Linked DNA regions of Styela clava. Each later gene encodes a partner of the first gene's protein in a complex. Links are inferred from orthologs where the notes say so. Each region holds a gene or a part of one and is shown on either strand. Other genes may lie near its edges.

The links.
Region 2: the proteins of kinesin-associated protein 3-like (region 1) and kinesin-like protein KIF3A are in contact, whole or in part, in a crystal structure (PDB 9IKB), measured with the Caenorhabditis elegans proteins. The link is inferred for Styela clava from reciprocal best matches to the Caenorhabditis elegans genes kap-1 and klp-20. Residues at the interface, in NP_001367739.1 of Caenorhabditis elegans: Ile269, Glu272, Leu273, Val276, Arg277, Leu309, Ser310, Ile311, Phe312, Asp313, Glu314, Asn315, Lys316, Asn349, Phe350, Phe352, Asp353, Lys657, Ala660, Gly661, Arg663, Phe664, Lys665, His667, Asn668, Gln670, Trp671, Met674, Val675, Asp679; in NP_497178.1 of Caenorhabditis elegans: Tyr557, Ile558, Pro559, Val560, His562, Leu565, Ile566, Tyr569, Lys582, Ile584, Ala585, Tyr586, Gln607, Met611, Tyr612, Tyr613, Ser614, Tyr615, Arg616, Leu619, Ala621, Ser622, Thr623, Ala624.

What each region holds. Positions count from the first base shown.
Region 1 is NC_135254.1:13,147,315-13,163,773, forward strand, and holds the start of kinesin-associated protein 3-like, read right to left. Parts: upstream 7,672-16,459; 5' UTR 7,523-7,671; coding exon 7,491-7,522; intron 7,408-7,490; exon of another isoform or gene 7,301-7,407; intron 6,573-7,300; exon of another isoform or gene 6,572-6,572; coding exon 6,440-6,571; intron 5,677-6,439; exon of another isoform or gene 5,571-5,676; coding exon of another isoform or gene 5,569-5,570; intron 5,253-5,568; coding exon of another isoform or gene 5,112-5,252; intron 4,684-5,111; coding exon 4,541-4,683; intron 4,289-4,540; coding exon 4,076-4,288; intron 3,414-4,075; coding exon 3,277-3,413; intron 3,188-3,276; coding exon 3,100-3,187; intron 2,920-3,099; coding exon 2,821-2,919; intron 1,986-2,820; coding exon 1,804-1,985; intron 1,374-1,803; coding exon 1,211-1,373; intron 1-1,210. Other genes in the region: uncharacterized protein LOC120344989, read right to left, coding at 9,485-9,573, 9,782-9,956, 10,040-10,197, 10,311-10,431, 10,869-10,993, 12,008-12,141, 12,435-12,637, 12,820-12,926 and 1 more.
Region 2 is NC_135250.1:21,204,359-21,220,773, forward strand, and holds the start of kinesin-like protein KIF3A, read left to right. Parts: upstream 1-10,663; 5' UTR 10,664-10,681; intron 10,682-11,640; exon of another isoform or gene 11,641-11,851; intron 11,852-12,702; 5' UTR 12,703-12,739; coding exon 12,740-14,800; 3' UTR 14,801-16,415. Other genes in the region: uncharacterized protein LOC120343993, read right to left, coding at 1,474-1,628, 2,158-2,352, 2,431-2,541, 3,117-3,228, 3,762-3,928, 4,141-4,285, 4,544-4,623, 4,965-5,085 and 3 more. UniProt on the Caenorhabditis elegans protein: Component of the kinesin II motor complex (composed of kap-1 and the heterodimeric motor proteins klp-11 and klp-20) which is required for intraflagellar transport (IFT).

The DNA.
Region 1 (16,459 bases):
TTTTATTTCGTCGTAAAAAAGATGCAACCACAATTTACTTTAAACACGAGTAAATTAATATAAGAAAGACATTTTAGATTCTCGTAGTTATTATGAATTGAATATTTTAGGCGACAGAGAAGTCATTATACACTGAAAAATTTTGCTTATCCAACGTAATTGCAGTGGCTTTTTCAGGAAAATGTAAATTTTCAATTTTAAACCCTCCCATTTTGGAAATCCTGGCTGCTCCCCTGTGTATATTTAAGACATTTACACTTATATACAGCAGCACTAGAAATTTAACCATATAATTTAACAAATTTAAGAGAGATAACATGATTATGCATATTCAAGGCCTATAATGATTTGGAAACTGTATTCACCATATGTGACTGATGTATATTCAAGCACAAGTCATGCATAATTAATGAAGCATTGATACAAATTGGGATATATCAACCTTGTAATAAAACCAGTCTATTGATTTTTATATCAATGACAGTAACATCTGTTTCACTTATCTATACAACACTAAGCTGTAATAGTTGTAGAATATATCCCCTATGTTTTCATTTTCGAATTCAACATTCTATACACAGGGTGTCCATAGAGTCAGCCCATTCACAATTTCAATTTTGTTGAGATGCCAGTCTTCGATATATCTTAACCAGCTTTCTTGTTTTTTAATCACTATTATTTGTTTTTTATCATCAAGTATTTTTATTTCATTTAATACATCTGTGAAGGCCAAAACAATATATATTTATAAAGTATCGATAAATTCCCTCTGCAATTCTAAAAAAGTTCAAGACTTTATGGGCACCCTATATTTAAAAATATATTTTGTTTTGTCATGCTAGATTTAGCTGAAGATAAGTTGAATAATTTATTTCGAACGCCGTCACAATACAAACACACAGAGAAAAATTATCAAAATTCTTGTTTTTAACATGAAATACATTACATGAAAATAATTATATCAAATAAATAAATATTAGTAAATGCCAAATTACACAACAGGCCTTCTGAATAGATTTTTCGCAGAAATTATGTGATACATACTGGTATATTTATACTAAATTTTTTAGATTTTAAAATCCATTCCAGAGCTAAAAATGACAATTTTTTATTAGTATTCTGTATCCAATATATACCTAATTTTGAAAATGTTTGATTATTAGTCTCTATTTGACAATCATGATTCATAACCACAAAATGAAGTCCTCACCCAAGATTCCATCTAGTTTAGGTATGAGACCAGACTCCATCATTTGTTTTCTGATATCTTGATCAAACGAAAGATTGAGCAGAAGACGTAATGCAACGTTCAATAAATCTTCATTGCTCGTCGGAATAAGTCTGACCAGTGATTTTACCACATTTTTATCCCTCTGAAAAACACAGTTTTAATTTGTAATTCAAAAAAAGTTTGGGGTTATTGTCAAATATTTAACTAACTTGATTATCGGTATGTGAAAACGTTTATTCAAAATCAGTATAACTTGAATGTACAATTTTTCACTGTTTCAAAATAAGGACTCACTAAAGATATTTATATACAGTTCAAATTAGTTGTACTAAAGGAACTAAAGACCTTTGAAGAAACCGTAAGTAACTGCAGTCAAACGCGGAAAATTCTTAGAAATGAAAGAGTCAGGACAAAATATCTCAAAATTTTAGAAAAAAAATAATTTTATCTCGTATTAGACATACAATTTCGATCACATTATATAATTATTTTGTAACAAATACCACTATTGTGGTGATGTGTAGCTATTTGTTTAGGTATTTGTATAAAAAACAAGACTATTTGAGTCTCACCATCTCATTTTTGTTTTCCAAAAATATCGACAATTTTTTTAAGAAGGAAACAACAAGAACTAGCAATTCTGGGTTATCCCTTGTTTCCAATGCTCTCACAAGTATGCCAACAATTCCACGTTTCTTCATTTTGACTTCAACAGAAGCATCTTCTGACAGATTCAACAGGAGGTAGAATCCAACTGAGAAATAGAAATTAAACAAATAGGCTTAGGGCTGAATACAATTCTAATATCTTTCAAATAATGATTGAATTGTAGGATATTTGATATCACTGTATACAAAGTGGACCTATGAGATTTCAACAATAGATCTATAACTGACATGGCCACACTACAACCCACGGGCCAAATCCGGCCCGTTGGGTACTTCAATCTGGTCTGCCTGATGCTGCTACAACCTAACTAAAACCAAATTTTGATGTTTTAGCTAAAAAATAGCTCAAGGAATTTGTTGAAATTGCGATTTAATTTAGTTTTGGCTTATTGTTTTTCACTTTTGCTTTTGTACCACTGTAAATATTGTTCATAAAAATTAACTTTTTACGTCACACTTACATGGCCCGCCGATTTAGAAGGGCAAAATTTTTGGTCCCTGGTCCAAAAACCTTGCCCCCCCTCCCCTGAATTCTGAATTCTATAATCTGCAATGCTAACACAATTAAAGCTTTGACCATTAGCCCTCGTCCCACAAAAAGATTGGTCTTGGTTAGCAACGTGGTCAATCCATACCCAGTATTGTAGCACAAATTTAATAGGCCTAAACAACAACAACATATTCATATCAGAATATTACACAACCAAGAAATTACGGCACAACAAAAATCATCAAATTTAATTTCAGTATCACCCTAAGTCTACGTTTCCTGCTTGTGTAAAGTTGATTCTAGAGTTCAGATACTCAAGAAACCAATCATTATAGATATCAGCCAATATATTTATTAATTTATTGTTCAGTCAAATCATCCAAACATCATGTCAGGCATAATGATAAAACAAGGAATTTTAACTCATATACCTCTTAAAAGTTGATCTTGTTTTTTAAGAATAGCTTCACATTTCTTCGCTGTTTTTTCAAACTCTTTTACAGCAGGATTTGATTTTGGAAGATTCGCTAGTAGAATTAGCAGTCAAGAAAAACTCTTATTAGCGGTTAAGTAAAGCAACACGACTCACAATATAATATTTCACAAAAAAAAAGAACCATTTAGAATAATCTGAAGTACCGGTATAAAACATTTTCCAATGATATTTTTATTGCATATATTTTATGTTCAAATTTATTGATTAAGGATATTTTGTTGTTTCTTTTTGTCCAATTCTTCGTTCCACATTTTATGTCGAGATAATTCATATTCTAATATGGACATGCACAGTGCTCCAATCTAAAACGACAATTTGAAAGCAAAAATAAGTAAAAGATTTAATCATATGGAAGGTGGAATTTAATTAAATAACATATGAAATGACGAACCTTGAAATGTATAATAACTCCATGAAATTGTGAAAAAGTTGAAAAACAAAAATAAATATATATAATATTTGTTGAAAGTTCGACACTCTTTTTCCAATCTTCTCTGAGAACACGAGCAAGTGCACCAAGAACTGTTTCTATAAATAAAGAGAACAATTAGTTAACTTGAAAAAACATCGCCAAGCATTATAAGCAGAACACGTAGCAAAAAAGATTAAAGACAATACACTCAAAGATTGCATGTCTAAGAAACTGACGCGGATTGTTACTGAATATCCAGGGAAATAAATTAAAGAACAAGTAATTAAATTTGCACACAACATTGCAACCACACAAACAACATTTTCCTATAGAATGCAGTCTGATTATAACATATATCATGATATTAAAGTTGATACATCATGTAGCCAAATTGGGTAGTCCACAAAACTGGAGACTTTGTGAATTGCCCAAATTTATGTATCTGAACTGAAAAACTGGTTAGATATTTTCTCCCAATTTGGACTTGAAACCAGACGAGTAGTCATGGTTTGCCAAAAAAATGGGCAGCATTACCTTTTTTTCTATACCCTGGAATAAATATATAATAGAAATACGAATTTCTTCAAGCTTGGCCATCAACAAAAATCAGAAATAATCCAGTATTATAAGTACGAATATGCCACCATAATCAAGTGATTGTTTGCCTTAGAGAGAGATTATTCTTAGAGTAGGTATATTCTAAACACTCTTGAAATGAGAAGATATTCATGGATGCAAGAATTGAATAATATAAAAACCATAATAATGTGAGCCTTACCATTCTGAAGCAGTTCTTCAAGGTTGTCTGGGTTACGTGTCAATTGTAGTAGCAGAGAGGACGATCGAATTTTTTCTGGAATATCTTCATAAAGAAGCTCAACATAATTATCGATATCGTTTATGCTGGCTTGTTCACCATCTTCAATACCAAACATGCAATCTTCCACTTCAACATCTTGTCCAGTTGGTCGCAAGTCACCTGATGTTTTTTCTAAATAAATGAAGTTTCAACAAAGTTATTGGCATTGTACGCAAAAAAATTAATAAAGTTGAATAAAAAAAATTCATATTCTTGAAAGGCATGATGATGTAAATCCTGCATAAAATAGGACTTTTTAAATTATCTTGAGTTGAGAAAATCCAATAAAACAATTCAATCATAAAGTTGGGCGTTTGTCCAAGTTAACTTTTTTGCCCAAGAGGTATAATAATACGCATATATAAATATATAAGTTCAAAATACCTTTGCCGGGTCTTTTCTGCAGGTAGTAAAGCAATTGTTCCACTTCTGGAAGCTTTGATACATGAATTAATTTACATTTTTCAATTACTTCTTCAGCTAAAGCTGCTATGTCAGTTGTAGAGTTCAAACTCCGCAATCGAATTCTACAAGAAAATTAGGTTGATTAAGGGTCGACCCTTTCAATCATTCATACGTGAGAGCTAATCTCCTACAGCTAGTAAATTTTTTAAAATACGGATATCATGACCTTCTTTATAGAATTATTGAGTAGTGGTTTAAATTCAGGCATCCTCTTTAATATTATACTATTATAACGATTGTAGCAATATTGTTCAGTCAAAATATGACAGGCATCACTCTTACTCTAGAATCATATTTTACTGGTTTTTACAGCTATGGTTAGAAGTAATTTGTATTAAGAGCAGAATTATTTGAAATCTAGTGGAAAAATAATTTAGTTCCTAATCTTCAGCTATTACTTCCTACTTGTTTTAAAAATATCAAAACATTTGACCTTTGAACCTCCACCCAGTAACTGGACTTTACTAACTAGCTAATATAACAATCTCACAGCTTTGTTCCCTGCTTAGTTAAATAATGTTCCAATTCCAATTCTTCATCTTCTCCTAACAAACAATCAAAACTGTAGTGAACAATTAAAGCATCTAAAACTGGATGAACTTCAATATACGTGGAAGCAAATGACGAGTCCCTGGAATAGATAGGTATACACTCAACTAGTACTCGATCAAGATGCTATTTATGAGCTAACCATACCAATCTGAACTGAAATTACTGAAAAAAGCTAGGATGAAAATATCAAAATATGCTATTCTGTTTCTTTCAAAATGATAACTATTTTATTTTTCTGATAATTCTAATTGGAATCGATAGCTAACAATGAGCAGAAAATTGTTGACAGTTTCTCAGTAATCATCTTCTTATTCTACATTACTTGACAACACTGTGTCTGTAATACAATAATGACACACTAAGAGCTGTTTTACTTATAATGATAGAATGCTTACATGATTTTAAAACTCTTCTGAACTACTTAGAAACACGATCCAACTTGGTAATGCTAACTTTCCAAAAAACTGAATCAACAAACTTCACTTTAAAACAAATTGTAGTAACTGCAAAAAGATAATTTTTGATTCATTTGAAAGACCAAAAAGCAGTTTCTACGCACAAGAAAACATATTAAACTGTTTTGCAGTAAAAATTGGCAAATAAATTTCCGTCTGTTAATTTTCCTAGTCACATTTCACTGATATACTCATACAAATACAGAACAATACATATTGTATTTGTGACAGATCTAGACAGAGCTAATTAGCTATCTCCGTAAACTATTGATAAATCATGCCTTATAAGGTTGCTATATGGTTCTCGTATAAAAACAGGGCTTAACTGCTGCAATTGATGCTAAAAACTTATCTAATGCTAAACTAACAACAAGAATGGTAATTATATCAGTATGTAAAGACAATTGAATTACCGGTCCTTTATTGTCACGTTCCTTTATATGATATCTAAGGAGCTACTTTCCGGTTTAATATTTTCTACTCAATATATTACACCCTGGTGGTGAATATGGGATTCGAACCGTATGTTTTTCACTTACTGATTTAACTAATTCTCAGCTTTAAAAAAAAAAACACAGGCATATAAACATGCATTCAAATTCCAGATATACTATAAGCATTATATTGTCGTAAATGATTGTTTATTCTTAGTATAATAAATATGGTATGTTAATATTGAACATATTTTTTTTGGATCCTGGTAATGCCCGAGTTCTGCATATATAAAGGTAGAATTTAGGCCTGTCAAAGTGTTTGGAAAACTATGAAAAAATATAGAAAATAAAATTCTTTAATAATGAAAATTAAATACATTTTTTGAAATTGCTTTCTTTCACCGAGCATAGGATCACCAAGTTCTCCTAATATTGTTGCTTCCACTTCATAATTCACAACAAGTGCTTGTTCAGTTGGGTGAACGTCAATTGCCCCTCCTTTGACCTTGCTGTAAAATAAATACCCAATTCACAAAAGGCACTTTAGAGTGTAAAAATATGTAAATTTCTCAGGGGACAGTACATTTTAATGATGAGCATGACAAAAGCGTTTTCTGTAATTCGTAACTTTTCTAGGGTCAAATCGCCTTATGGATAATGAGATTCCGTAATAATCGCTGAAAGAATCATCGGAATGAACGATCAAAATAATCACTGAGTCCCATCCCGAATACAGAAACAGGGTGAGTGTCAGTGCCACCGCTAGGTTGGCACATTGGCGTTGAATCGTACTTGAATTATCAGTATGAAAATTGACCAGATACAATTATTCTACACCAAACAGCAGGCTTTATGCACTGTATATGATTTAAATCAGAAGTTCACAACACAGGAAAAACGTGCCTAATGTCATAAACTCGAACATGGCATGCCAATGATTTCTTGATTTGGTGAAAATAATTTGTGTATTTCTGTATTTAAGTATATGGAATTCTGAACTAATAATAGCAAATGGTTGAGTAGGTTAAACATGATTTTAAAAACTTTGGCACATGTCTTCATTTAAGATGTGCGCTCATGATTTAAATATTCATTCAATAACCATTTTTTTGGATTTGCAAATGTCTGAGCTGCAGAATGCACTTTTCTGTTTTAAATATAAAAACAAACTTTCATTTCCAGTTCTTGCTCAGAGCCAGCAGGGCAGAATAAACTCTACGTTAAATTAGTAATTTTACCAGTAAATGTTCCACCTCCAGACAACAGCTTACATCCATTCATGCAAAATCATGAATTCCTGACTACATATCTACAATCCCATACCGTACCCGCTGACCGGAAGCGCCCATGGTCTGGTAACTGGGCGAGATACTGAGATACATATTTAAATACCATCCTACCTTTAAAAGCTCACTTATTCTGACTTACCGTTTCAAATATCTCGCATCATCCGTCTGCATGTTCTCACCATAATCTTCAACGAACTCCACAATCGACAGATACAAGCAATATTAAGATAATAATTGAGCGCATACAGACGTAATTATAGCGGTTACACAACCTTTCACCCAAGTTGCGTTAGCGATAGAATGCCGAATTATTTGCGACAGATCAGAAATTCTGAATTACGTTTAAACATTTTTTATTAATTTTTTTTTTTTTATTGTAACTCATACATTTTATTGCAACCAATATTTCTTATAATATTTGAATAAAACAAACAAAAAAATGAGACCCGACAGTAATGTATGTTTACGCGACCCTTGACCCCATAAACATTTTTTCCTTCACTTCGCGCAAGATTTTTCTACGATTATGAAAATCATAGTGATAACATTTTTTTCAATATATTCAAAAAACTGTTTGATGGGTACGGGGAGACAGCCAATCAATTTTGACGCATACCGAGACTGCGGTGGTGTGGCTCGCCACTTTTTCTTCTTCCAGTATACTTTTTAGTTTGTTTTATTTGTATTGTCGGGTAATTTTGTGGTATCAGGAAATCGAAAAAGCTCTTAAAATTTTCTTACAATTTATTCTTGAAACATTACTTCCCGTGCACAAAATCGGCATGCCATTTGTAGTCTTCTTCTAAACTCAAACTTACTCATCATCCCATATTACAAGTGTTAAATGGTAAGCTGTTACTAGTAATGAGGCATTTGTAAGATTATACCTTCGGATTTATTATTACAAATGAATGAGAAGGTTTTATCAATAAAACATGTTAAAATACATAAGATACAAGATATGTAAAGTTACTGGAAGCAATGTGTTAGTAGTAAGCGCATCAGGCAGGAACAGAAACTTAGAAACAATCATACACAGCATTCAAATTGTGCAATGTTATTCAATATCATGAACAGCAATATCAACACCATCGGTAAAAGATAAATACTGTTAGTGTGGCAAGGGAAACTAACATCCTATTCTGAAAATACAATAAAATAAACAGAAAATATAAATCATAAGAAAACAAGCAATTACCCTGGCAATGTTTTCAAATCTCGCATTCAGTTTTTTTGCTATCGATGCCATGTGAAATTATAATAAACAAATTGCCTAAGAAAAAGTATGAAGAACAAACACAATGAATCAGTTATGATATGGCATGTAAAATTGTTGCATTTCAACTAAATACACAATGACACAGGAACATTGAATACGGGCTATGGCACTAAAAAAATCTTATTGATTTTCTAGAAATATATATATATTGCAAAAATCATCACAGAACGACCTATGTTGCACATTGGAAAAAATAGCCCCTAAAAGCATACATGATATATAAACAATTACAAGTACAGGTAACATAAGCAACGATTGTATCTAAAAATCAAAATGCTTCTGTGCAAGTTGAAAAACACGCAGTACTAAAACCAGCAGATCTCAAATAACTCCCAAAAGTATAAGTGTGGTGAAAAAAAAATGGCGAAGAGAAAAATGAAGAATTCACAGATTTGTAAGTGTGATTGTCACAAATACAACATTAGAGACAGGTACACCAACAAAATAGCCACAACACAAATAATGCTTTCAAGTGGCTTCCAGTATCATAAGGCACAATGGTTCAGGGAAGCTTAATCAATAAATCCCACTCACAAACAAATTAAATTCGAAAAATTACAAATCACATTGAAGATCATAAAGAAATTAAATTCCAAATTTAAACTGAAGAAAAGTGCAAAACATAATTGTACAGCAAAAGGCCATTGAAGGACGTTATAACATATAGGAATTTGACAAAATTGAAAAATACTTAAAATATTCTTATATGCTCTTTTTACCACTAAGTAAAAAATCAAATCGATTTGGAAACGAAGGGTGAAACGGATTTATATTTCACTACCACATACTTTTGATCATCTGGCACTATTCAAAGCTTATCAAAAACTATAAAATATTTGATCAAAAAAATTCATCTAGTTGCATAGTAAAAAGTTCACAATCCTGGCGAGGATATAACAATATATAGGTGCTCCCAGTGAGAAAAGTTTGCTAGTGGCAGATCCTGAAAATACAAAATATCAGTAATCTCAACTCATTGAAACAAATCATGTAATTTGAAGTATCTCTTAGTCTTGATTAAATAAGAGCAGTAACTCCCGACCAAACCTAATATGCTAAGAACTGAGTAGAGTAAAATGTAGCTTTCTAAAAGACAGCATTCTTAAGATACAAATATATTATAAACACAAATTTGCATTAGAATAACATACCTGAGTTGGCATAAGTTTGAACATACGAGGATGCGTATGGTAGTCCGTTACCAGCCCTGTTATAAGGAAGAACAGTCGCATAGAATGTTCTGTTTTCCTCAACTTGGATAGTGCATTCACTCTCCTCAAATAGGAATGATAGCTTCTTTTTTGAATCCAAATCTTTCAGTAGCACCTGTGTAACATTATTACTCAAGATAAGAGAATTAGTAGATTTGAAATGAAAAAATAAACTTCACATAAAAAAGCAGAAAATACCTTATAACCTAACAATGGTTCCTCTTCAGCTCTGCCTTCAGGAATATTCCAAGATCCATGTATAATCGATCCAGTAACTGTGAAATGAACATTTGTGAGAGGGTACCGTGGAGGCAACTTCCAAGTATGGTGATCAATCGAAGTTGATGTGCTCTTCCCTTTAATAAAAATTTCCTTATTAATGAATTTAATGACAGAGTTCTACTTACAATTTCATATTAAAAATAAATGCATCAGTGTATACAGAAAATATATATATATAGATTCTTACCCGACTTGTTTGCAGCTATCACTACAATTTTATACTTGGTATCTGGTTCTAAATCTTTAACGTCCAAAGCAGGTGGTTTAACTTCATAAAATTGCGAGCTGCCCTTAGATGTTAATATCACCTGAAAGTTTGAAAATTAAATGAATTTCATACAGATATTATAATATAATAATATTTATGTGTGCAATGGCCTAGCAGTTAAAGCCTTAGAGCAGTATTTCCCAAACTTTTTCGTTGAATTCCTTCCTTCTTCGTTTTAGTAACTTTATTCCTTCCTCAGTACGCATATAGACTCATTTCTTAAACTTTATTATTGTATCCTTAGCTAATGTTATGCGAAAGTCGCCCGTTTTTGAACAAAAATATAGAATATTAGTAATACTACAACGAACACAAATGAAAATTCCAACCCAATAGAATTCCTACCCAGCTGGAAAACGTTAGAAGATATCGGTGATTACTTCTGTGTGGCTTTGCTCGGAGCGTAATGTGTGAATAAGCAATGCAGAAAAAATCTAGGTCGACAAGACACTCGTACCACTATTATATGTTATATACCTCATAATGCTCAGCATTTTCAGAACCGTTCCATGTCACAAGGACAGATGATTTCCGGGAAGGAAATTTAGAATATAAATTTTCACAGATCAGATTTTCGATAGCATACGGTGGTGTCAGATTTTCTGAAACGAATACGATGAGTACAATAACAAGTGTGTAATGTATAGATGTCGGTGGCTGACCGAGTTTTTTCATATTGCCATAATGAAATATAGGGGCTCCCGAAGTATGCGAACCAAGATGGCGGACATCGGAATGTAATATGTGTACTAGGTTAGGGTTAGGCCATAATTTTAGGTATAAATACTACGAGAGGCTCTTGGCTAGTCTTCGAACTGATAATAGGACTAAAATAAGAAAAATTGGATAAAAATTATCGCCTAACCCTAACCTGTTACCCATGTTACGTTCCGATGTCCGCCATCTTGGTTCGCATACTTCGGGAGCACCGAAATATATTTGTAACTGAATAGCAACACATACAGCATTGATCATACAGTAGTGTACATCCTTTCACCCTCTTACCAAGGCGGGTGAATATGAAAGTTACCCCCTAGCCAAGTGAACTGCCTGCAAGATTTATTCACAAATTCAGGAAGTAATACAAGAATATAATAATGTCATAGGAAATAATATCAACAACTTATATGGAGCTCGACAATTATATGAATGAACAGTGAATAAACATTGAAATATATCAACGAGAAAACAGAAACAATATATGGTATCTATTCATATCAGTGATCACACATTTTGGTAATTTGCATTTTAAAATGTCGGGATTAAGTAATCAGAAAGTCTGTACAAATGAGAGGCCACTCCACTCAGAAATTAAGTCCATATATACATCGCTATTCTTAAATTTAATGAAAAATTGTTCCATTTGTTATTCAAATCATGGAAGCCAGGCACAATTAAAAGTTATATGCAGTCATGATAAGATGACATAGCCTGCCCTGGGTCATTCTTATTCTGTAAGATTTTTTTAAAGAGGGATAAATCTACTTTTCTCTCCAAGATCCATGTTTATTTTAATAAGATAATTGGTTATATTTTTTATAAGTATGTGCTGTTTATTACTTGAGTAGAACCAAATTGGTGACATTCAAGAATTAGCTAATCATAACAATACTTACCAATAATTGGCTGTGCTGTTGTCACTGGGGCAGTCATGTTGTCTTGTGTTGCAGGGGTCTTTATGTCATCAGGTTCATCTCCTGGTGGATTCAATATAGCAGGAGGTTGTGAGCCGCCACCTTCAGCAACATTCCTATGAAATGAAAATTGGTAAATCCTGAAATTGACATTGTTTGGATTTTTCATGATGATAATCCAAGTCAAAAATTCGGAAAGAAACAGGCAAACAGCACATAGTATTGACTATTGAGTTAACACAGCACAAGCTTTTGTTAATAAAGTTTCTTTTTTTTCAATCTGGAGTCGGTAGTTGTTTATTGGATGGCACAGAGTTTAATATCGAAATAGAAAATTTTATCTCTCGGTCCCGTTTTAGTTCACAGCAATAAAAAATTTATTCGATAACAATCATTTAGTCGAACTTACTGGGGAGCTTTTCGTACTGGTTGGCAACCTGAATCAATGTTTGGCTCCTCGGTTATTCCTGATGACGAACAAGAAGTACACCCCATTTTATGCCAGTATCTATACTCGTGGAACCATCCGCGGCAACACAGAAGGCATTCCATTTCATTGGTGCTATTGATCATGTAAATTCCTTGTTTTCCATGACTATTGACGCAATAAACCTGTTAAAACATAACAATTCTGAATAGGATTTTCTATAATTTCAACTGATATTAAATTTAGCTATATCAGCATATGGTACTTGTGAGTGACCATAGAGAACAGACTAGTATTGCAGTAGTGTACAAGGATTTTTAATATGAATAAAATAGCAGATTATGGGAATAAAAAATATATGCCTTACAACTTCATCCAACGGTTTCACGATACCAGCAATGCATCTGCCATATTCAGTCTCCATTTCGTATACTTTATCATCAACCCCAGTCTTCGGAAGTGTATTTGCTGTAACTGCAAGAATTGAATAGGAATTAAAAACTAACAAAAAGTCATTTTTTCACTAAGATGAACTTTAAAAAACATGTGATTTCGGGATATGCGATTTCTGACAAAATATACACTTTCAATCCAGCAATGCCGCCATCTACCAAAACCATTTAAAACACACAGTAAAATAAACATGCACAATATAAACTCCTTTTGGATTCGAATCGAACGGATTCAGTATGCCGAATTGCGATATCCCTACTTGTAACCCTGTAACGACGGGTCAATTCAGCAATTACGGCTTCCAGCACTATCAAGACCATGCATTTAAATCAGAGGTTCTCAAAAGGTGAGAGATGAAGACAATTTTTTGAGGTACGTGATGCTACCGTAATTAAAATAATATGTCTATGAGAATGGATCTTGCCCTCTTTATTTCATTATATTTACATTTCAAAACTTTTTACCTAATTCAATATTTCTGTTCCATTCAGATATTTTAAACATGTTTTTTGAATAAAAGTACTTTTGCATTAAGATTTTATTTGAAAATTGAGAAGATTTGCTAATGTTAAGATTAAGAATTTCTGGCTCTTAGACAAGCCATTTCAGTCGGTTGCGCTAACCCGTTGGAAGAGATACTCAGCAATGGCAGACAGGTAACTACCGCAAATGGTACTGCCAAGGTATCCCTATACAGGTAGACTGAAGGTACTAAAAACTGAAATACAATGAAATAAGTCATATATCATATCATTATCCGTGCATACCTAGTGCATTGCATAACAAAAAAATCAGAATTCCAACTTCAAAACTCGGCATCGTCATATTTATCCAGTTATTTGACACGAGAAGTGGAGATGCAAGATTATCCAGTTGCTGGAGCTATGATTTCAGCAGGGCTGCTACTTTTGTCTGTAAAAAAAAAAAAAAAATTGACCTCAAATGACAACTAGATTGGAAGACAAAACAGGCAAAAAATATCTCCAAATATGAAGTTACTAAATTTAATAAAAATCAACAAAACAAGAGAGTGTGCAAATAGGTCATTATATTACATTACAAAGTAGATTTCGAGGATCATTTGAAGTTGTTGCTACAGCTGTCAGAGGGATTTTTATATGTTTCTGCTTTACATATTTTTTTGAAATCGTAACAGATTCCTTATATGACGCGCAACATTGTTTATTTGGAATTGGTTTGAATTTAATGATGATTACTATTGCATTAAGTGAATCTGTCTTTCTGCTGTTTCTTAGTTTGTTTTTTTAAGTTAATTGCACAAAATTTTTTTCAACATCCTGACATCAGCATTTAAATGACATAGTACTGTGGTAACAGTGATGGCTTACAATGCTGTTGCCGTGTTATTGTTCCACTCTTATACTTTACGAATATAAGCTTTGTCTGTTTGTAGTTGACTTTCTGCAGTACATCCGTAGTCTTATGTTTCAGCTATTTTTGCAGTTATGTGAGATACTGACGATAATAAACTTTATACAATTATATTGCTCTCTCCAGTTTTGTGATAAAAATCCCTTGGATTTCATATCAGAGTATCAGGGTGCATGTTAACTAAATGCCGCGATTACTTCTAGTAGTCGTGGCACAGACATTTTTCAGTTTTTGGAGTCTGGTATAGTTTCAGAGTTTAGTACCACTGTACCACTGCACTTCTAGTTGGCCTGGCTCAATAACTTTTTCATACTTCATTCCTAATCCCCACCTGACTATGTCACGTCACTACGACGCCACAGTGGCGTAATACTGTAATAAATACCTTCAAAGAGTACAGATGGTCGTCCAAAACACGCAGACAATCACCGAAATCGAGCAAGCTAATTTTCTCTTCGCAACGATCCCGATATGAGAGAGACCGCTGGCATTAGTGAGTTTGGTATCGTCGGCGCGGATGCCATTTCGGACGATAGTAGCCATACTTGGCAAGTTCTATGACGTGATTGTGATGTCGTAGTGACGTACCGTAATTTTTGGATGACATAGTCAGGTGGGGATAGTTATGTGCAAGAGGATTGCTGGACTCCTCGCCACCGTCAGGCCGCAGGGTGGTTCATGTACCGTAACCGCTGATCGGCTATCCTCCATCATCAAGTCCATGCTTCCCAAAACAAATAACTAGACTACCGGTACCGTAAAAGCAGGTAACTTCCTATGCCTTGTACGGTACCGGTACCGTAAGTTGTAACCGCGTATGAAATTTCCAATCGGTCATATCTCGACGAAATCGCGTCATACTGTGCTTCTGGCAGTTTCTATAGTACCGGTACATCGTGCTAAGCGTTGGAATACGCTCGCCACCGCATCTCTGATTACCCTTCGTGGGTTTGCAGGTTCGAATCCCAAGCGGGAATGATAATGTGCGAGAGGATTGCTGGACTCCTCGCCGCCGTAGGGTGGTTCACGTAACCGCTGGTCGGTTACGGCTTCCTCCACCATCAAGTCCATGCTTCCGAGAACAAATAACTGAACCCACACCCGTCATGGACTGGTAACCGGACGAGCAACAGCATTAGTAGTGGTAGCCTAAAAGTCTCGTTGCGAGCAGCGCATTAGGAGCAGCGCATTACGCACAGTGATGCCGCATTAGGAGCAGCGCATTGGGCACAGTGAGGCCGCATTAGGAGCAGCGCATTGGGCACAATGCGTGGTCGCATTAGGAGCAGCGCATTGGGCACAGTGGGGCCGCATCAGGAGTAGTGTATTACGCACAGTCAGGATTGACAATTTACCCATCCATTTTACCATTGACGTTTTATAAACACCGATTTTCTTTATTTCCGTAACAATGATCAATCAACAAAATAGTAACAATGGAAATTTATGCGTCTGCTCAGACACTTCTTTTCTTCAGACAGATATTCAAGTATAGTTGTAAAAATTGCCTCGCATTCGTGCTTTTGCGTGTCATTTACCAGTTTGCAGTTGTGTTACTAAAAATATTTGTAAATCGAATAACTTAATTGTGATCATGCCTCCCGATGACAATAAGTTTAGCTGCAAAAATTAATGACGCATTAGGAGCAGCGCATTACGCACAGTGAGGCCACATTAGAAGCAGCGCATTGGGCACAGTGAGGCTGCATTAGGAGCAGCGCATTGGGCACAGTGAGGCCGCATTAGGAACAGCGCATTGGGCACAATGCGTGACCGCATTAGGAGCAGCGCATTGGGCACAGTGAGGCCGCATTAGAAGCAGCGCATTGGGCACAATGCGTGACCGCATTAGGAGCAGCGCGTTGGGCACAGTGATGCCGCATTAGGAGCAGCGCATTGGGCACAATGCGTGATCGAATTAGGAGCAGCGCATTGGGCACAATGCAACAACCTGGTCTGTAATTTAAGATTTTCTTTTTATCGTGGCTATTTGATGAAGATTTGGTGATATGTAATGTAGCCCCACTTTTTATGGGGTATTTCATACATCTCATTCAAAAAGGCTTTGAATAAGAAGTTTTTTTGTTGTATATAAAATTATTAAGTTGAATTGTATAAGAACGAATTCATCTCCTGATAAGGAGCTTCACGACTTCACCGTA
Region 2 (16,415 bases), on another chromosome or scaffold:
AATATTTGTGTAGTGCAGCAAAGCCCTCCCTTCGGAAATCTATTAACATCCCAACAATTTTGGACCAATCTGTAGGTGCGGGAAGATTCCCTTCCTTTTGAACTGCAGTAGATTCTTACCCAGTTGCATCCCAACAATTTTGGACCAATCTGTAGGTGCGGGAAGATTCCCTTCCTTTTGAACTGCAGTAGATTCTTACCCAGTTGCGAGCCATGTATGGAGCGAAATGTGTATCAATAAGTCATATCAAAAAATAAAAAAAATTCAAATTTGAACTGATTGCTTAAAAATAAAAGCTTCAAGCAACATAATACAAATATTTATACACTCCTCATTTCTTTCACTTTAATGGCAAAAGTAACTGTTTTTAATATTACTGATCAATATATTGCGGCCCGCGGGTCGCATGCGGCCCCAGAGAACTTCCAATGCGGCCCTCTAACGCTTTTATTGCTATCTAAATGTAATACATTTTTCAAACTTGAAGAAGGTGGCATTTTTGAAAGAAAATGGGAGTTGCAATATTTCTGCATTTCTCAATATTCTATAGCTCATTGTTCGATATTTCACATTTCCATCAGTACAATCAAAGGATACAATATAAGTAGACATTATCAGAAAAAGCTCAGCAGTCAATATGACAAATTTAAAGATCAACTTCGAGCAGAAAATTTTTATGTGTTCGTATATTATTATAATTATACAACTACCTAGTTACTAAAAATTAATATGAATCATAACTCAAGCGGTTCTATGTGATGTAATTGTAGGAAATGTGGAGGGAGATGCCTTGTCCGAAAATTCAGTCATTTGTTTGTTTACTAATCTATACATGAAATGATAAACATAATATTTTTGCATTACGGAAGTTATTCAAACATTCTTAACAAAATTCACAGATTAACCGATGATCATGTGACCTCGTTAATTAGAGTTGGAACTGTAAATCAGCCTGATATTAGTGAGCTGGTGGCACAAAAGAGATGCCAAACGTCAGGACATATGTGATGAAAAAAACATTGAGTATATTCTGTAGTATTTTTGTAAATTTTAGGTCTATATATTTATATTTAATCTTTTTTACTGTATGTATTATTCTTTCCTTATCAAAACTTTGTTCAAAAATGTTTTGGAAAGTTGTACATAAAAATTTATGATTTTTTGTAATAAATACAGTAAATTGCGAATTGAAATAATAGTGAAATGCAAAAATTAATATGTAAATGGCATCTGAAGTTTAAGAAAATTATAAATCTTCATTCGGCTGTTTAATTGCATCACAATATATGTCACAAACTACACCTATCTAAAAATATGCTTTAAGTACACATTATCAAAATATATCGAAAAAATTGTTTGCGGCCCTTTGCGCAATTCCCAAAATGCAATGTGGCCCTCGAAAACCCAGTTTGACACCCCTGATATAGACAGACTACTAAACTAATGTCAGGTATTTTTACAATTTTGACTCACCTGTGTGTCAATTTATGCTGCTTTAAATTACTAGATTTTGTGCAGGAATAAGGACAAATATTGCAAAATTGTACTTGAGAAGTGACATCAGAAGTATGGCTTTTCAAAAGATGATTTTTGACATCCAAACGAGTGTTAAGATCTCTTTTACAAATCTGAATATGTAATGAATATGAATCTGAATATGTAGAAAACAAAATTTGAACCAACAATGACATATGTCCTTGGGCAAAACTCGGAAGGGGGTGTCGCAAAAATTTTAGACATTTGAATCATATATTTAAAATAGACTTGTAAATGTCAATGTTTTTGCAAAAAATTTGTTATCATGACGTAAGTAGCAGCAGTCAAAGTCACTTTGTGAACTAAAATTGTAATGGTGCATTGTATAAGTGGCCTCTGCCCCTGCCTTGCAGCCCTATCTCATTTATAAACACTAAAATTACACTACCCGGTAAAACAGAACCCATGAATCTCTTGATTACTTCAAGCAAATAAAGAAACTTCATTTATTACTTCTGTTTGTGTATAATTGTACTCAAATTTTATTCTCAAAATTTTCAGTAATTTAGGATGGAAATTTATGTTCTGTCTAGATCTATAATATGTTCCAAATTCTTTTTTTTTTAGGTTACCCAACTCATCAGTGTTGTAAGTACCACTCAGAATAAAAAAAAAACATACTGGACATTTATGTCTTGCATTCTTCAAATCATGAGTTAACAAATGTTTATTAAAACTGTCACGAAAATTTGTTCTGTATGAGCAGTGAGGACAAGGAAAACGCATTTGGTCCTGATCAACATGTTTCGCCAATCGATGTCGTCTTAGAGTAGCAGAGTTCTTTGTTTGATAATCACAGTGCTTGCATTGGAAGACCTTATTTGAAAAATAGAAAGGAGTTGGATTTGAAGTTGGAAGTAAGTAAAACATGATGCCATTGCCACAACCACTTACTTTCATATGATGCATTGAAATATGAAGGTCCCACTCATTCTGATCTGAGGTAACAAATTGACATTCTTTACATACCAGATCACCAGGCTTACTGTGTTTTGTTACCATGTGCTGAAAATCGGATATTGTAATTTGTAAATTTCTGAATATGATGACAATAGAGGCAAAGAGCTGCTATTCTAGGGCAAATGAGTTGCTCAATCTAATATTAGACACTTAAATAAGAGGCATCATGCCTAAGTTGATAAAATTTCGACTCCAGCAGCGAATTTTTTAATAACAAAAACTTCATCATATATGGAATCCACCTTTATTGGAAATTTTAAATTCATCAGAGCCAAAATTTCATACTTTCAATGATGATAAAATAAGTCAAAATTTCCTACAAAAACTAAAAAAGCATTAATTTTACCTAGGGTTTTTATCAACAGTCTAGTAAAGAAGACTTGCATTCGCCAAAGTTTTCATTATCAAAATTAGATTTTTTCGGAGTTCAGTGCTGACCTTGAGACACAAAGTTGAGAGTCAGAGTGAATTGTAAAGTTTCTCAGACTCAACAGCACTGTCTATTGTAAAATATTGGAGAATAAAAAATATAATCACATTCCTTCTTCAACAATTAGATGCTTTGACAAAATTATACATTTTAAATCATCAAAATTCTACTTCAAGTAAAATGTAGCTACCTGTTTAAAATGCCTGGGTTCTCTAGCTGTGAAGTCACATCCACTTATTTTACATTTCAATGGTCTTTCCCCAGTATGCATCAAATAGTGCTTTTCAAGATGATGACGTAATCTTAAAATTGTATTATGATTTGTTCTGATAGTTATATGAATAAAGCAAATAATATTTTTTGTGCATTCATAAGCGCCTTTATACGTCTTTTTGATGTTATTAAAAATAAATGAACTGGTACAACAAGGTATAAGTTCTGGAATATTGCGAAACTTACATATTCGTAGTCATTTTCAAATTTTTTCTTTCCAAATTTCTTGAAAAATTAAGTTCAAATAAGACATGGAAGATATCCAAAAATATAATTTTGCGATACCAATTATCAAAATAATGTATTTTAACGACACTTTTCTCGAGAATTTCTGGCTCAAGAATTTAATTTGGAATGCTAAAAATTAGTATGATTTCAAATCCCAATACCAGACTGCATATGGACTGGATCTTATCTCAACGTTTATTCTATTGTTTACCTTCTGGCAAATTTTAGGGTAAGGTAAAGAGAGGAATTACTTGAGTACCTAGTTCCATAACTTCATTAAAATGTAACAAATCGAATGCATCAGCAGCTAGAATATAATACAATTATTACATACTTAGCAACATAGTTACATCGGTCACATATAAAACATTTCTTTCCCAAATGATTCTGTGTCATATGTGCATGTAGATGGTGCTGAGTTGAAAATATTTGTGTAGGCTTGCAGTACTTGCAAATGTACCCACTCTCGTGCCTTGAATGCATATGCTTTTGAAGATCAACCTAAAGAAAAATGAACTAGAGTTTGCCAGTAAATAATACCACCTGCTTTTGGGAAAGTATCAACCCAGTGTTTCCCAACCAGACTTTATAATCATCCATGAAAAATAAAAATACCCAGTAAATCTAAGTGTCTTCTTAACTGGACTTTTGTTATGAGAGACATGACTGATAAAATATCAAGTATCAATAAATAACAGATCCTAGCTACTAACCTCATTGTTACAAGTAAAATTGCATCGATAGCATGTATATATCGTAGGGTGACTTTGCGATTTGTGTTGATAAAGGTTATATTTAGAAGAAGCTTCATAACCACATGTGTCACATAAATGTTTTCCTCCTAGATGTTGAAATCTCCTGATAACATAATAAATAGGATACTTTGAAATATGTGAAACATCAAATGTAACAAAACTGTACAAAGGAAATTCAAGCTTATAGACATAGCTGCAGCAAAGTAATATAAACTTGGTAGATGAATCAGATATTGAACAGCAGCAACCCTGCTTTGCCATAAGATATTATTATTAGTTATAAATAATTGTACAAGACAAGGTCACAACAACCTATTCAGAATTGAATAATTGACTTCTATAAATATCAACTATACATTACCAGTGACTATTCAAAGCAACTTGGCTTGCAAATGACATTGTACATTCTGCACAACTGTTGGTTTTTTGAACATCGTGTATCTGAATATCAAAGTCACAATTTAATTTAATAATCTGTAAAAATTGATGTATTAAATTTGCACTAATGTATGCCTATGGTTTGAAATAACAAATCAAAATGAGAAAAAACAATGGGCCAACAACAGAGCCTTGAAACAAACACTTTGAAAACAGCCTTGACTAATAATAGGGCAAGCCATTATGTATTATACACAAGCTTAACCCAAGTTAAAATAAAGTACCAGTATATATAATGCAAAGCTCATGTACCACCCAAAATTTTTCTGTTGACCCGTAAGGGCCCCCGATTAGACCCACGGGTTTAGAGTTAACACACTGTCATTTAAATTAACATACCATACCTTCATATGATTTTTGATTTCTATCCATTGGGAATTCGTGTAATCACACTTTATACATTTGAATGCATTGTTTTCATAATGTGATTCTTGATGTATTTTCATTTCTTCTTCATCTTTGAGTCTTCAAAAAAAAGGAAAAATAACTGTTTGTGTCGGATAAATTTTGTCTAAAAATTGAATTACCCTTCACACCGATTAAACTACAAACCACCTCAGAAGAACAAACCTTTGTGAACTAACCAATGATTACCATGCAGTAATTTATTGTACAAGAATCACAATCAAATTGTTGTTGTATATTTTATTTTATATATACGGGTATATGTATATTTTAGTAGAGAAAAGCCAATGAAATGCTTTGAGCACATGGAGAACCACGGCCTATCGTCCGCCTAACAGTTAATGTGGGCACAGTTTCAGATGCATTGACTTGCTGGCTGAGGAGCCTGTAACTGACCAGCAATTATGTGAACCATGATGGCGGGGAGCCAGTTATTCTTTTGCACATAATTATTTCCTACAAGAATCAAAGCCCAGACAGTAATCAGAGATGTGAGTTCCTAATGTTTGGCATGATGCGCCAGCTGATAAGAGTGCAAGTCTGACCACAATTACATTAAAAATTGATTTTAATACAATTCGATTTTGTCCCACTTTTATACAGGAGTCAACCTAATCAAATTTAGTACATTAACTGGATAAATTGAACATTGCCATGAAAAATGGCGCGCGAATCCAATTGAGATTACCGGCAACTGAGAACTAACCGATTATTACACAAAGTGCATAGTAATGCTTTATATCTTCCTCCATGTTTCTTCGTGTCTTCTTTATTGCTACTTTTATTTTCCCTCCTAATAATCTCATCAGTAAATATTTCATTTACCGATTCCAAACATGATGCTGCATTCATTTCAATAACACCTGTCGCTAAAGAGAAAAAAAACTTGATTGAATCATTATACAAAAAGCCTACCTAGCCTTAGATATATAGTATAGATCAAAAACAGTTTATAGACATAGTTGTGAGAAAGAATATCTGAATAACCCATTGTAGGTCATGTGTCACCTTGGCAATGGTTGAGTCTTCTTACAATGTTTTTTATTTGAAAATTAGTCAAGTCGAGTTTGCATGTTTTTTGAGTTTTAAAATATGTGGATGTACTTTGCCATTTCGCGATACAATGCAAAAAAAAAAACATTTTCTATTTGGTTGGCACATAACAGATTTCAGTGGTGTTTATAAGCTGGAGCTGTGTCACAGGCTGTAACAAGCAGCCCACAAAATATATTGGAATATGCCCACAAAACAAGAGCCAAAGGTTTAAATTTTATGGGAGATATTTATCACCATTCTTTGTTATTGTAGGGTGAGAGACATAAATGCTTCTTTAACCAATTAGGTCCATACCAGGGGCCGGCAACCAGCTTGCCTAATGTTAAACAAGTTCATGGATGCCATCTTGTGCCATATTTGGGAAACGCGAAACAATGGAGTCCTATGGAAAATTTTCGTCGTGTGGTTGTATCGAATCGAATAAATCAGCAGCCATAAGGGCTAGAATGAAGCCGAAGGGTGGGTTTTGAACTTTAAGCTATATGCTACCTAAATATAATGATATTGAGAATAAAAAACTATCTACCGGTAATGCGTTAAATTTGACCACAAACACAACGTAAAACCATCTTTGGTCATTTTTTTGAAGATTTTATATGGAAACGCCAATTTGACGCTGTAAAATGTCTCCGCAACAATCCTACAATGTCATTTGTTCTTCTAGTACAGCTTGGAGCTGAGCAGTAGGGCATTATGGAGCTTGACAAACGAAAAATATTAACCAGAAAATAGAAACGACCATTGAAGCAAAGTTGAGTCGGCCGGTAATTTCGATGAATAAATACAGCTTTTCATCTGTGACGTCATAGGGAATGGTTTGGTTGGTTAATTATGACGATTAACAATTGGTTTATTATGACGATTAGAATGGTTAACTTACTTCAGAAGCAACTCGGAACCGGTATACTTGTCTTCAAGGACAATTTAATGTACTATAAATGTAATTTGGCAAACATGGAAGAATATCAACGTGTTAGGCTAAGATTCTCCTTAATAACGCGACCTTCAAAATTTTTCTGCCTAAAATATTAGTGAAAATAATAGGTATGTTTCAATGATTGTGTGCGAACTTCTCATAAGGCAAGGCAGAACAATAGGCACAAGATGGCGTCCATTGTCGGAGCGTTGCCTCGCTTGTATTATATATACGCTTTAGTCAATACATTAGAAAAATTGACCTGCTCAGCAACATGCGGTGTTGAAGAGACATGAGTCATTAAGTGTGTTTCCATGGACAATATTACTAGGACGGACTAGGACGCAGTAGGACGCGCATTCCTTATATGGTCAACGATGTGACGTCATGGCGCGTCCTAGTACGTCCTACTTCTTCACCGGGTTTTCGTCCTACTGAGTCCTAGTATTCAAGACGCTTATACGTTATTTTCCGTTCTAGCGACTTTCGATGTTTCTCGCAGATGACATTTTTGCGGCTTTTCTTCGTGGGGGATCCACATGGGTTTAAACTTGTCAGTTGTAAGTAATGGCATTGCAAGATGCGGTACCGTACCTCAACCTTCAAACTCACGATGGCAGATGAAGAATTACCGGTAGTGTAAACGGTACGGTAGCAGACTAAACATTCAACGGTACCGGTACCGTATCTCTCGATAACTTTTTATGTAGACTAATGCTTACTTCTCAAGCCTGTATTCTTTTTATTTTGTATCACATATGCCGTATGGACAACCTATTGGACCATTAACTTATTTAATTAGGATTGTTATTTCACAGGATCATTCCTTCCTTTACTTAATGTAACGCAATTGATATCAATTCAAATTTATCATAGATGAGAAATCAGGCTGCCAATTTTGATGACGTAGATCTGATATTGATTGAAAGAGTCATGAAATCACTTAGATTAAGACTATCATTGAATTTGAGGTCACTGACATCACTAGAGCAAATATATACTGCAGTACGGTACTGATACGAGTTGTTGTACGTACACACTAAATTTATGCTCAATATATGGCTAATATATTACCCACGGTGCCATTATAATTTAAAAACTTACTGTAGTTTGTTTTGTACATGCCTATATATAGAATAAAAGAATTACCGGTACTCCATCCATATTTTTCTCGGAATTCTTTCAGCTCCCCACTGAGTTAACGCCAGCAACGTCCTAGACCGCCTTATTCTTCTGGTGTGCAACCATAAGACCAGCGCCTGCACCGCGAAAAAAAACGCTAATAAAGTCTTCGCCCTGTCCATATTCAAATTAATACTATGATAATGATACCGAAGAGAGAAACCTAAAGACAAACTCGGGTAACAGTAACAGCTTTATACGAATTGGGGAAATCCCAACAACAAAATATTTACAGCGGAGATCACTCAGGCTGAAAGAAGATGACACAAATCAACCCATCCAAGCGTGTAGTTTTACCCACAATGCAACTCATTTCCGAGATCACGATTACATGGAAACAGGTCGCGATTTCGTGTCCTAGTCCGTCCTAGTAATCCCGCCCGACTGCGTCCTAGTCCGTCCTAGTAAACTTGCCCATGGAAACACACTTATTAACTCAACTTCTCAAAGTGACTCGAGTCATCTAAATGAGGTGATTCAAACACATACTCAAATACTCCATTGAGGAATAGCTCAGAGATTGACTAGACTTCGATGACCCACGGTTCGTGACTTGGAATTTAGGGATTTCCTCCCAACACTACATAATCAGACAATCTCAAATAACGGGTTTGCCACAAGACTACATCAACTCGTATCTAGCGGTACTTACAATTTTCCGTTGCAAAGTTGGCCTCTTCAATAATTATGTTAATTTGATTTTTTCCTGTTGTTTCCACGTTCTCTGTATTAGACGCTTCATGACCATGATCCTGGACAAGGATAGGATTTGTATCAGTAATTAAAATTATAATCTATCTTCATGTGCAAACTATACAATAGTATGGTATACAAACATATTGTGATTTTATTTTGCAATAGAAAATACCAGAAAACAAAAGTAAATAAACAGATTGTAAGCTAATTTGTTTGTTCAAATTCATTGTCAGCAATCAGCATGTTATCAAAATAGAATGAGATTTTCATACAGGAATATTGTGATACAATGGCTTAATCATATGGCGAATCACAGTCTCTTGTCTGATTACGGGTCCAGGTCGAGAATAGAAATAGTCAACCAGTTACTTGTTCAGATTCATGGACTTGGTGGTGGAGAAAGCAAAATACAATTCACAATTCAAACTTCCGACATCTAAATTAGAACCTTAGGTGTCGGCGGTGCTTGATAACCAAGAGAGATGGGATTCGAACTACCCACATTCCAGCATCGGGTCTGGTATAGTTTCTGAGTTTAGTACCACATGTACTACCTGGCTCAACAATTTTTGCATATGTCAATCCTAACCCCCACCTGACTACGTCATCGAAAAATTACGTCATTTCGACGTCACAGTGGCGTAATAAGGCCCACCGAAGTATGCGGATGGTCGTCCAAAACGCATAGACGATCACCCGAAATCAATCAAGCAATTTCTCTCGTTTTCTCGTCACATTGATCACTATAGGAGAGAGATCGCCGGCTTTAGCAAGTTCGTTATCAGCGGCACAGATGTCATTTCGGGCGATCGTAATTATACTCTGGCAATCCCTATAACGTGTGGTGACGTCGTAGTGACGTAATTTTTGGATGGCATAATCAGGTGGGGGTTAGGAATAGCATATGCAAAAATTGTTGAGCCAGGTCAACTAGAAGTCCTTGTGGTACCAAACTATACTGGACCCCCAGCATCAAATAATATTAGTTTTGGTTAGTCATATCAGGGATCTACTAGGTCAAATACTGAATGTTCAGAAACATACCGGTACACAAAAATACATGAAATAAGATTTACCAAAACTTCATTTCTATGTGTCTCTGCAACATGCGTGCGTAGTTTTTCGATTGATTCATTTTCAAAAAGGCACAAATTACATTTGTAAATTACACTTATCATGGAATCCAAATTAGCCATCACTGCTTTGCGTGAAACGAAGACAGGTCTGGCTACTGTCCAGTACAGTAGTTTCATTATGAGGGGAATACCCAACACAAAAACAAAACAAAAAATTATGTACGCAGAAAAGGACGTTTACCAATTTTATTACCTTGTCTTTCCGAGAAAAAATTTTGACGAGTAAAGTGAGCTAAGTTTTTAAATATATTTTACAGAATTTCTGAATGTTCAAAGATTTTAGTATATTTATCTGATGATCGTAAACACCGATATTAAGAAGCGAATAGCTCATAAATTATTTACATGTACCAGTTAAGGTCAAGGATGATGCGTTATATTTTTTCCTCTATCAGAATCGAAGATGAAAAAATTAATATTTCTTAATTATTGCATATTGCATAGATAGTCCACGTTAAAACTGAAAAAAAGTTAGATTGATTACCATATCAACAGCGCCCCCTAAGTCAACATTGCTAATAAATAATTCGTATCCCGTAGCGACCATTAGAAATTGAAGGATTGTTGGCTTCTCGTCGAACCCTTTAGTACAGTGGCAGGTTGATGTGAATTCTATTCTGGACTGTCTTTTATATCTATAATCGAACCGTTGGATTTGGACTTATGCAAGGTCGGGTTAAAATCTTGTTGATTAGTTCATTAATTTTTATTTCTGTAACAGAGTACCGGTAATGAATGTAGAAATCTTGAAATAGTCTAAATCTTTTATTTGCTAAACTAAGTTCTGAAGAATGAAAGTTATCGTACCGGTAGTCTGGTAGTTGAATATTAGAAAATTTTTATTATACTGGAATGAATGACGTAATTTATTAGAAATAGTTATAAGCATTCCAACTCCGAAATTCATAAATTGTGTGAAAACAACTAATGATATTTCTGTCTTGATCTCATTAGTTGTAACTTCATAAATTATACAGTAATACTTTTATACAGTTAATTCTTTCGAATACAAATACAAAAAATTTCTTCAAATGATGCGAACATTTGTATTCTGAATATTTATATTTTGTTCTTATTTGTAAAGTGAGTGACTGCGATCATCGAATTTTGATTATACATTTTTAATTAATATAACTTAAGTCATTTTTAAAGTAATTTTATAAGCTAAACAGAGGTTTAATAATTGAGCAGTCTCTAATTATTATAGTAAAGTAGACTGCAAAGCCCAGTATTTGGTGCAAAATTGGCCGATTGTTTTTTGCTAACAACTCTTGACCAATACGCTAGGATTTTTTTTCCCTCTGTGAATCAATTCTTATTTACTGAGTAATTTAATGATGACATTTTCAGTTTGCTCTTCTTTTTAGTTTATCGCACAGCTCCAGTTTGCGACAGTTCCAGAAAGTACAAAAGTAGGGGATTATATTAATCGCTATACATGATGTCTTATAAATAATCAAGAATATTTGTTAATACTGTATATTCTGGAATATACGCCCATCGCGCGAATAAGTCGACTCCCTAAAAACGGCCTCAAAACGACGAGATTTTATGAAAATTTGCATATAAGCCGTTTCTACAAATCTCGTAACACGCTGCACGCATCTATGTTCAAATTTATCATTCAAATATCGCTTATGCTACCTTCTTGTATTGTTTTTAGTGTTTATATTAATATGAAATATGGCACACAGATTCTAGCACCGCTGACCACGTTTTGATTAAAACAATTTTCGATTATTATATTTTCTGTTTTATCATAATGGAAGACAGCACTTTGCAGAACAACTATGGTAAATTACTGCAGACATGAAAGGAATTGAATCAGTGCCGACTTGAAGTACGTATAACATGAGGAAGTTTTTGATTGAAAATATTTTACAATCATTAATTTATATTAACGTTGTCGAGATATCCTGTGCGATTAGGGCAATAAATTTGGTTTATTTTCACAAGTCTTCTCAAACATGATTTTTGTAAGCTTCATATATGGGCTGATATATTATGCCAAAGTGTCTGCCAATTATTCAATTGACCAATTATCAATTGATCAGCTGTTATTTGTCTTAATTCTTTTAAAAACAAAAACGTAGCCGGTGGGTGCAATGAAGCACTTCCTGCCTGATATCGGCACTTGGCACTTCAGAAAGAAAACGGCTACCACGAGATAAAGTGATTGATATATGACCCTTCCGTTTTGCTAATTCAAAAAAAAAAACGGAAAACACAGCTGTTGCCTAACCCATGGATGTACAGCGCAGTATTTATCACACCATATTTATATGTTATTTCAACCTTTCAGTTAAATGGTTGTTCAAAATGATTAAAATTATAGCTTTATTGTTGACAATTAATGCTGTAGTATTATTCTATCTGAAGCAAACATTCTAACCATATAAAATTATGAACGCAAATTAGTTCGAAAATATACCGGTAGTAATAGGTTCCTAAATAATATTTAGTATATATCGCGGATGTTATTTGTTAGCCAGACGGCCATTAATGATAATATCCTTCAGTTTGAGTTTGCCGTATTAATTTATGAAATCTCAATTAGTTCAAGCTCGATCAGAGTTTTGCGCTTATAAGCCAGTCCCTTAGTTAAGTTTTAAACTCGGCTTATATTCGAGTGGTTTTACTGATCACCGAAAACTTTGCAAATAAATATCATATTCATTGCTTTTATTTTAGATTCATACTTAAGAAAGTATATCAAAATATATTTAAAATGCCATCAGCGAAATCAGGTGATAGTGCTGACAATGTCAAAGTTGTTGTTCGATGTCGACCTCTAAATGAAAAAGAGAAATCATCTCAATTCGATACTGCTGTTACAGTAGATGAAGTTCGAGGTCAAATTGCAGTGAAAAAACAAGTATCTGATGTTGAACCACCAAAGACGTTCACTTTTGATACAGTATTTGGTCCAGATAGCAAACAAGTTGATGTGTATAATCTTACTGCAAGACCGATAGTGGATTCTGTTCTCCAAGGTTATAATGGAACTATCTTTGCATATGGGCAGACGGGAACTGGAAAGACTTTCACAATGGAAGGTGTTCGGTCTGTGCCAGAATTGAGAGGTATTATTCCGAACTCATTTGCACAGATATTTGGTCATATTGCAAAAGCAGAGGGCGAGAGTAGATTTTTGGTGCGTGTCTCTTATCTTGAGATTTACAATGAGGAAGTGAGGGATTTGTTGGGGAAAGACCAACATGCACGTCACGAAGTGAAAGAACGTCCTGATATTGGAGTTTATGTTAAAGATTTATCAATGTTTGTGGTTAATAATGCTGATGATATGGATCGAGTAATGACACTTGGGAACAAAAATCGCTCCGTTGGTGCTACTAATATGAATGAACACTCTTCACGATCTCATGCTATTTTCAGTATTATTGCAGAATGTAGTGAAAAAGGTCCAGATGGTCAACAGCATGTTCGAGTCGGTAAGTTACATCTTGTCGATCTTGCAGGATCTGAACGACAAGCGAAAACTGGCTCAACAGGCCAACGACTCAAAGAAGCGACAAAGATTAATTTGTCTTTATCAACTCTTGGGAATGTAATATCTGCTCTTGTTGATGGCAAAAGTACTCATATACCGTACAGAAACTCTAAATTAACTCGTCTATTGCAAGATTCTCTCGGTGGGAATTCAAAAACTATGATGTGTGCCAATATTGGTCCTGCGAGTTATAATTATGATGAAACAATATCTACTTTGCGATACGCAAACCGAGCAAAAAATATCAAGAACCGAGCCATTATCAATGAAGATCCTAAGGATGCATTGTTGCGGCAATTTCAAAAAGAAATCGAGGATTTACGAAAAAAATTACAAGATGGAGGAGGCGAGGAAGGAAGTGAGAGTGAATCAGAGGAGGAGATTGGTCCTGACGGGAGCGTGAGGAGAAAGAAAGGACGAAAAAGGAGAAATTCATCAGGGAAAATGGCGGCAATGCAACAGAAGATCGAAGAAGAAAGAAAACGTTTGGAGGAACAAAAGGAATTAGCTGAAGAAGAAAGGAATGAAGTAAAAGCGGATCTTGAAAAACGAGAGGAAGAATACAAAAAAGCAAAGTTGGAGCATGACCAAATGATGGAACGATTACATGCTATTGAGAGGAAAGTTATTGTTGGTGGCGTTGATTTGTTACAAAAGGCAGAAGAGCAGGAAAAACTCCTAGAAGAATCAAACCTTGAATTACAAGAAAGAAGGGATCAACAAGAGGAACTGCGGAAACAAATTGAAGAAAAAGAAGCTGAGCGTATAAACATTGAAGAAAAATATAATTCTCTTCAAGAAGAAATACAGGGCAAAACACGAAAGCTTAAGAAAATATGGACAATGTTAATGTCAACAAAATCCGAACTTGAAGATATTCAGCAAGAACATCAAAGAGAAATGGAAGCTTTGTTGGATGGAGTGCGAGAACTTTCACAAGATGTTCAATTACAAACTTTAATATGTGATGCTTTTATTCCACCGGAATATTTTGAATTAATTACTGAACAAGCACATTGGAACGAAGATATAGGAGAATGGCAAATGAAATGTATAGCATACACAGGTAATAATATGAGAAAACAGTCTCCAATTCCAGAAAAAAATGTAGCTGATGATTCTGATCTTGATCTATCTCACGTATATCTTGCGTACAGTGAGCAAAGCTTAAGAGAAGCATATCGACAAAAATCAGCAAAAACAAAATCAGGTCGTCCAAAAACTGGACGCAAGAAAAAACACACAACGCAAGCTGACATAGATGCTGTATTACAGTAAATATCATATTTATTTGCTCTGTCACTGCCTAATTTTAGATAATTATGTATTTATACTGATATGTTATCAGTATTATGAAATGCATGTGAAATTGTATGCTGCATGATGTGATTGCTTTGTCCGAATTTCAAGTCTTTAATAAACCCTGAGTCACAATTCATTCAAGTCCAATGTTGAGGTAATCAATGAGTTTACCCTCACTGGCAGTTAATTGAGTACAAGTCATTTCCATTCAATGACACGACTCACTTCGAGTCGTAACTCAAGTTCAACTCAAGTTGAGTCAATGACTCCAATCACCTCAACACTGGTTCTTGTTTCTAAATCAATCTATGAAAAATAAAAAACCCAGTTATTACATTTCCCTTTTTATATTATTCATAATACTTTCTTTAAATTGTTTGTCTGTGCCATGGAGGATCCTATAACAAATTTCACTCGCAAAAGTCACTCCTGCTGAGTGTTATATTGTGATTTTGAATGATATATCGATGTACTCTATTTTATTGAATTTTTTGTTATACTCGGCATATTGAAAATCCAGGTACCATACATACCCCTAATACAGGGTGTACTAGAATAACAGTGATTAGTAATTAATTAATTGATTTAAGAAATATTACCGTATTTTATGAACCATGATGAACACTTTGGTTCCTTTTTTTCTCAAAAATTGATCGTGCGTCTTATTAGCAGGTGCACCTCATGTATGGATCAGGTAGTGCTTTGTGCTTTTTTACTCAAAACCAGTACCAATATTGCTTTAAAATTCCTTATGTATGAATATACTGTAACCCCAATCTTAGCAATTTAATGTCAGAAAGTCTTATAATACAGTGCACCGTATCTTGCATGAAATACGATAACCTATTTTTGGGCCTCTGTGTATATCCCATAGGTTGAAATACATTTTTCACGAATAAAATAACTTTTCATAGATCAAAATTTGATAGTGAGTGAAATTTTTGCACAAACTATTTTTATTGAACTGAGTTTTATTGCACAAGTTTTCTTTCTTTAAATCAAATTATCTGTTCACACTTAATATTTTTATATTGTCCATTTGTAAAAATGTTGCGGCTCATCTTTTCTACTGAATATAAAATATAGTAAAATTATACAAGGAATAGAAGATTCCCTTTTTCGATAAAGTTCTCCATTTGCCTATTTTGGATCTCTTTATTCCTCCTCGTAATGCACTAAAACTCTGTTATTTTTCGTTAATTTCTCATTTTTAAAAGATCCTTAGCTAGTGCCATTTCACACTCTGGATTTTGCAGTTAGTAGGCCTATAGTTTATAATATATTTATAAACACATTTTTCAAACACACTAAATAACTAAACAATATTTGTGAAACTACCAAATATGAAGTGATATTCACTCCCTGATAACTTCGAAATTTCTCCCCGGTGGGAAACATTGGCTCATGTTATCGGCCATTATATTAATTCTCAGAAATGCACATTGGTTTACACATACAATCTTTCACATTATTAAGATGTTGTACGACTCAATTAGCAACTCATTATGGCCCAGCCAATACTTTATGTTATAAATATTATATTCAATTCTTACCACTACATCTAATAATTGTAACAGTTTATTGTTGTATT